Mytilus edulis: one gene and its partner. The protein of the gene in region 1 purifies or fractionates together with the protein of each later gene. This does not show direct contact. Links are inferred from orthologs where the notes say so. Each region holds a gene or a part of one and is shown in the gene's direction. Other genes may lie near its edges.

What was found. Proteins that work in one complex are often made in the same cells at the same time.
Region 2: the proteins of cyclin-F-like (region 1) and cell division control protein 6 homolog purify together in Homo sapiens (affinity purification with western blotting; 4 studies listed by BioGRID and IntAct, with this or other methods). This does not show direct contact. The link is inferred for Mytilus edulis from reciprocal best matches to the Homo sapiens genes CCNF and CDC6.

The regions. Positions count from the first base shown.
Region 1 is NC_092352.1:40,408,418-40,412,179, reverse strand, and holds the start of cyclin-F-like, read left to right. Parts: upstream 1-1,089; 5' UTR 1,090-1,221; coding exon 1,222-1,246; intron 1,247-1,474; coding exon 1,475-1,644; intron 1,645-1,919; coding exon 1,920-2,026; intron 2,027-2,327; coding exon 2,328-2,395; intron 2,396-2,978; coding exon 2,979-3,169; intron 3,170-3,616; coding exon 3,617-3,762. UniProt on the Homo sapiens protein: Substrate recognition component of a SCF (SKP1-CUL1-F-box protein) E3 ubiquitin-protein ligase complex which mediates the ubiquitination and subsequent proteasomal degradation of target proteins.
Region 2 is NC_092357.1:50,690,312-50,694,073, forward strand, and holds the start of cell division control protein 6 homolog, read left to right. Parts: upstream 1-1,391; 5' UTR 1,392-1,557; intron 1,558-1,833; 5' UTR 1,834-1,841; coding exon 1,842-1,971; intron 1,972-3,762. UniProt on the Homo sapiens protein: Involved in the initiation of DNA replication. Also participates in checkpoint controls that ensure DNA replication is completed before mitosis is initiated.

The DNA.
Region 1 (3,762 bases):
TATTTGAATGAACATCACAAAGGCGGGGAAAGCCCATTTCCTCTCGTTTGTAAACGAGTGTAACAATTTTGACCAATCAGCGTCGAGTATATTCGGATTGTTGGTGTTTAATTTTGACAAGATAGGGTGCATCACTTTTTCGGAGTTTAAACTTTTGGATAACGTATTTATGCCTAAATTTATGAAATTTATAGCAATTCAGAGTAATGAAAGGTAAGTTACATGTTCAATAAAAAATGCCATTTATAAAAATTAAAGAAAAGAAAGTGAAAGGTCATAACAGGGCAAATATTATGGGCGGTTTAAATTTTTGAAAGTTTGTCAATGGAAAGTAATAACAACATAAGAAAATAGATCTTTTTGGAAAAGAAGAGTTAAATGTGCTATTCAATAACGGTTTCTTCAAGGCGTGTTTCAAAAATTAATTTTGTTATAAACGATGTTACTGAAAATGCATCATAACATTTGAACTCTACAACTTTCACGATAAAAATAATAAAATCCATTTTTTTCGGGTAATGAAAATGTTTCTTCGTATCCATATAATGATATATAAAGATTTAAGTAATCACAATAGTCCATCAAAGACGAGTGCATTCTGTTTACTCATCAAGCAGTCAAATGCAGGAAGGGTCCAGCTTGTGATCCAAATTTGAGTAGGCTTATCGTAAATTTAAATGGTAAACAAAGTGATTGACGGTCATTGTAACATACTTGACGTGCCATTTGCAAGAATATAGAATGTTAAGTGACGAAAACTTGTGAACTGACATCCACTGGCTCCAGTCCAGTCGAACTGTCGAAGACAAAATGATAAACATGTTTGATATTCATCGAACAATTTTATTGTTTTATTGATTTCTTGTTATCACATGTATCAAACACTTTTACCTATCTAATTATTAGTTGATAACAGGTGTATACGACGATGAATATGTTCAGACTTGTGCTAAATAAATTATGAATAGCATTCATTAGTGTCATTGAAACACGTTTATTTTCAAATCGCTCATTGGTTATCGACCTTTGCAAGTGCCGGCTTGTTTACATTGACAACCAATCAAAAGCGGGGACACCCTGCTTGTTACTAAAAATAAATGGTAGGTTCACGGTATCGATGTTTCAATGACAAAAATAAACTTTCAACATTCATGATAATTTTGCATAACTTATACTTGATGTGGATCTTATTTGAACTTTATCATAACTGACATTCCTTATATGAAAACCATGTTTGTAAAAATTCGTAAGTACTTTTATAATTCATAATCAAAATATAGCAACATTGTAAAATTATGAAAATGCATCAAATGTTTACTGTACATTTGTAATTCAAGTGCTAAAATTAAATTTTAAAGTTTTAGAATTCTATGAATGTTTATTTTTTACAGCAAAATCACTTAATACTTAAATTACATGCATGCATATTTCCCGTTGTAACCAATTTACATGTATGCTCATTATTTTTTTACAGTTCTAAATGCACTCAGCAAATTTCAAAAGTCTCCAAACACATTTATCCCAGTCCACATGCATCTTCGTCCAAGAACACGGAGTCAGATGACAATATGGAATTTACCTGAAGAACTTTTGCTGTATATTATTAAAGGATTACACATCAGAGATGTTCTTAATTTGAGAGCTGTAAGTAAAGTATATTTTTATAATATTGTGATTTAATTTTATGTACAACAACAAATAGTCTGCTTCATCTCAGATACATGTCACAAAACTTTAGTTAGTTAAGAGTTAGTTTAAATTTTCAAAATATTTTTATTATTTATTTTTCAATTTCATATCATTTTGTAAGAATGCATAGAATTTTGCTTACATTGACTCAATATTTATGTATTAATTCACATAAAACAAATAATAACAATTTAAGTAGTTCTGAAATAACTAGTGTTTTCTTTCCCCAGGTTCACCCATACTTTAAAGATTTAATAGAAAACAGTTCTGTGATCTGGAATTCCACAAGTTTTCAAGATGAATGGCCGTCACTGAAAAACATTCCACATTTTGAGAAGTAAGTATCATTGAACTAGTTTATAATTTGAGTACAAACACTGCATCAGCAACTGTCATGATGAAGACTTGCAATGCAATGAGTTATTTTTACACCTACACATGATGATGTTGTTTCATTCCCCTATACTCTGGTTGAAATGACAGAGTATGCATATGAATACACATTTCAAGATATATGTAACATAGATTAATAGAAAGAAATTTTGATGTTTCAAGTTCATAATTTAGTTTTATTCTATTAAAATTATTATGCTGTAGTGATTCACTGTATATATATTAAACCCTCGTTTCTTTTTCAGAGCTGGAGATTTGGGAAATCTTGAAGCATTGATCAAAATGGCCATTGCCTACCTCTATAATGAAGGATGTAAGTAGACCTTTTTATCACAAAGTTATTTATATATTTGTCCTTTTTGTTTACGCAGGACATGGGGTGTGAAATGAACATGTAAATTTGTCTTCCCTTTGTTGATTTTATATATAAAGGTGTTAATTTCTTCTGACAAAAACTTGTACAATGTATGACGTAAAATAGCAGGTTCATTTATATTTTTTTGTTATAACAAACAGAGTTTTGACAAAAGAAAATGAACAGATGAAAAGAAAATGTAACTTAAATCAATTAAACAAACAATTCATGATTAGATTAAAAAAGAAAAGCAATATGGTAGAGCTGTTTTTATGTACAAGCTATAATTAAGAAATATGCACATAGGGTTTGAAAAACTAAATAAATAAATATTATAGTTTAGGTTAAAGACAATCAACACATAATTTTTAGTTTTGCCTCATCTATTTCCTCTGACCAAAAATACCATACCGGTCTGTTCTGGTTTCTGAAACAATTCCAAATCAAGAAAACAAATTAATTTTTTTGTGTGCTAATAGTAAAAGATAATGAAATAATACTTTGAAAGCTTAATTATATATGATTTAATTTTTTGTTTCAGTACCTACCGATTTGGAAGGAAAGAAGACCATCAACAATGGAGAGAAGGCAGCAGATATATTTTGTAGAATTGAAGGACTAAGTCCAAACACAGATCCTTTTACATGGCTGTTTATACGACCGCCATGGTCTGTTAATGGTGCTTGCTGCAAAGAATGTGTCTTCAAATACATGAAAGATTTTATTAAAACGGTAAGGAATGATAATACCAGCAGCGCATTACTAAAAAAAAATCTTGCGACCAAAATTGACCAGAGGATTAACTGAAATTTTCATGACAATGGTCTGAGATGTTTACAGTTTCATGACATAAGGTTTAATTATTGTGAAACACCTTTCAAACCATTTTTAAGTATGGGGAAAAGTATGATGGACATTTTAAACATATAATCAGCTTGCTTTAATTTTGGAAAATCTGATTTTTTGCATTTTATTTTTCTTGAGTTAATGACACAAAAGGGGAAATAAGTCAAATATGAATGAATGTTGATTTACGATAATTGTCAATGAGGTAGTATCTTTCTACAAAATTATTGTTGTAAAACATTTATTTTATCAGCACTGAATGTGCCTTTTGAATATAAATCAAATGACACAATTGAATCAATAACCTTTAACATTGAATATTGATTATTTCAGACAAAAGACAAAAATATCCATGTATGTGTAGCTAGGACATTAATGTTACTGGAATCAGAAGATAAAACAGAGATATTCCAGTATCTGAAGGATGGCGCTGAACTTGGATCAGGCGTGGCAGCATTTATGTTCTGGCAACAGAAATA
Region 2 (3,762 bases), on another chromosome or scaffold:
ATCAATTGGTAAACAAGCTATTGTTTTCTTATTATTAAGTCTGGTCATGCATTTTCCTCAGTTCACGATCAAAATAATACGTTGTCTAATCTTTCACGATCAAGTCGATGAAAAATCAACAAAATTCAAGGTTTTCATGAACAAATGAACGGTTTCAATGGAAGAGCATACATGTACTTTTATTTTGGTCACACCAAAGATTAAGTTTCAAATATATCATGATATATTGGAATGCGACCATAAAAGGTACAAAAATTCGTGTGATTTTTTTTAATGAATCCCTTAGACATGTATTGCGCCTTTTGTGTTTTTCTCATGAAGTACTGCATATTTTCTTTATCTTCTTGCACAGTATTGTTGATAAAGTTGAATCATTTTGACAGACATATTTGTTTTTTCTGATTTATTCCGCGTTTTAGTTTTTTCCGGCCACATATTTTGAGGTAGAATTTAAATTTGATTTCGATCTGGTACCAGATCTTTCACGATCATGGCCAAACCAAACTTAATGCTTGCCCACCCTAAGGTATTCAGGCTTTAACGATCAATTCTCTCGATAAACCGAATGACACCCGTGATAAAAAATTAACATATATTTTCAGAGATATCATATATTCTTGATCCTAATCATTTCTAAAAATAAGCAAATTACATAACTTTAAACAGAGACATATAAAAACCAGATTTTAAATATGTAATTACATGATCTAACCTCCGGCAAAATGAAATACAATGTAGACGTTTATTCCCAAATTTCAGTATTGTCCTTTTGAACTGAGATAATTATAAACAGTTATCTAGAAGTCCCAGTTTTACAACTGACTAGTAATGTTTTTTGTTTATATGCTACTTGACTTTTATCTTTTAGAAAGAAATTGCATTTACATGCAACGCCTTTCTACAAAATGAATGAAACCCAAATTCAACGGATTTCGGCACATTTTCAACCATTTATTTTTTAAAGAGTCAGTATTGCAAAATTTCCAGGGAGAGCACACAAATATTCAAAGATGATGCAAACAAAAGTCAACTTTAATAAAAGAATATAAAATATATGACTAATTAAAAGCATGTGAAATTTCCCCAAACATTCGTCTTCAATGTCCTTAATTCAATGTCATATATATATGTTTTAAAAAATCAAATTTAATCCATTTTAAATATATCACCAATATATTTCTTTTATCAATGAAGTATTTAAATGTTAGTTTTTATTTAAAAAAAGACTTCTCTTTATAAATATGGAAGCTGGGAGTTCTATATCACAATCTCTGTGTTATAGTCGTCTCAGAAGAAAAATACGTCTCACCAGGTATGCTACGACTCTGTACAATAGTTAACAAAAATATTACTTTTCATGACCAATCAAATCGCTTCATACATAAATTTCCCGCCAACTTTGTTTACCTTTCTTTATTGTGTACATCCTACTGGATCATTGAACATAAAACAAGGGAAGTGTCCGTACCAAGCGTTGTCATAACTGGTTTAAGATTATATGAAAGTATTATTGATGATTAGCAAGCACTGAAACTAACTGTCCAGATAACAAATACGGTAAATAACAGTTTCTTTATGTGGCAGAAATATTTTGACTCATCAGATATCATCAATGATCAGCGGGTTGCAAAGCATTTTTTGATCTTCTGTCAAAATATTGAATCAATTGTAGATAATTGGTCATTGCTATTTTGTACTTCTTTATGGGAAAGCGTTCATCATCGTGATAGAATTCCCAAACCGAACAGTGGCATGATGGATATGGATGTTTGATTAATGAAAGGGGGCACTGAAATGTGATATTGAAATTTATTGTTTCTATTAAAATTTCAGGCTAAGGAATGTCTGCAATTGTTCAGAGAAAATTAGAATTTCCTGTAAGAAAGTCAACTCGTCTTAGAAGTTCTAAAGATGCAGATAGTCAAGAAAATTCAGTGAAACCAGAGTCCCCAAGAAAAAGAACAAAAGAAGGTATATACCATGGATGTGTGTAAAACTATATAAGAAAGACGATGAATACTTGAAGGTACAGGATTTACACAGTCAGTTCAACAGCCTGTCTGTCTAATGGGGACAAATTCCTAAGTTGATTGTCCTTCAATACACCATATCGCTATTTAGTCCAATTCGGGAAAAACAGTCATTTATACATCTTGCTGTTTGGGTCAAGCCACTGAAAATAGAGGTCATTAGTAGTGAGCTGAGGGAGGAAAAACTTTAGAAAGCGATCATCTAGAAACTTTGATAGAGTATGATCCTCTTTTTCGAAATTAAAATTAAAGTAGAAAAATATTTTGTTTGAAGTATTTACAGTAGTTTAAAAAGGTCTCATTAAAAAGTATCATGCATGGTGAATTGTTTAAACAGGGTCCCAGATAGCTTAAACTGGATGAAAAAGTTGTGTAATTTTAGAACTTATCCGGAATGGAATGAATAGCTATTAGGTGTATTGTCAATGATTGAGTTAATCATCACAGGAAAATGCTAATCAAAGTTTTCCTAGTTATGCCCCTCAGTGTTCTCCCCAGAAATTTTGGATAGCATCACATTTTGCGTAGAAAAAAATAACTATTATTTTTAATGTCGTTGGCGCGTTGCGTTGATGCTCTATTTCCTTTATATGTTTTAGTTTATATTGTTCAATTCATAACTGAGAATACAATTAAACTATAACTACAAAAACAGTTGTTTCAGTTCATGTTTTCTTTATTCATTTATAGTTACAGAATTTTTTTTTTTCCTCTTGTGCCAAATAAAAATAAATATGTGTTTTCAGTTACCCAACAATAAGTCATCGAAAAATGCCTGTACCAAGTCAGGAATATGACAGTTGTTATCCATTCGTTTGATGTGTTTGGACTTTTGATTTTGCCTTTTGATTTTTGATTTTCCTTTTTGAATTTTCCTCGGAGTTCAGTATTTTTGTGTTTTTACTCAAATGAATGAATGGTTCATTATAGATCAACCTGTATATATACAAAACTAAATATATAGTACACAAAATTAACTATTTTTATATTATATCAAGTAAAGATAAAGTAGCAAAAAAAAAATCAATTTAAAAACTTTTTTTTATCATGTTTATGAAATTCATTGTTTCATGGCACTCAATGAATTAGTCCCAGTTGTTTCTTATCTTTACATCAAAATGATATGTATTTTTAACAAAGTTATCTAACAAATAGTCTGTTAATGCGTAGTTTTCTCTCTTGGTATATTTTTTCTGTCTACTGTCCATCTGTTGTCATTATCGTGAAAATGCGGATTTTTGTCATATCTGTTCCGGTTCCGATCCGTAGTTTACACACTAATGTGCAATGGCGGCCGTAGAAAAATTTACGAAAATTAGTCCGAGAATAAACATTGTTTGACAAGAGATTGTGAATGAATAAGACGCTTTTAATGTATTAAATGGATTAAACATAAACTTAAGCCAATTATGATAACTTTTTAAAGAAGTATTAAACTTATTTTAGCTCTAAACCAAAATTCTCGCTCTCGTATTACCGGAAGAGAAAGAAAGTAATTTTTGGAGAGTTGCACAAATAAACGACCTTTTAAAAAAAAAAAATCGTTTCAATCTTTGAAATTTCGTAATACAAAACGTAGATTTCGAATTGTTTTGTGATTGTCTTGTCTTGGCGAAATTGGCGATTGCAGACACGTGGTATTAGTCATGTCACAAGTGTCAGCTTGGGATATTCGCATCCAAATAGTTATCACCCTGAGGGCAATTAACAGCTATTTAATCTCTTAATTGCC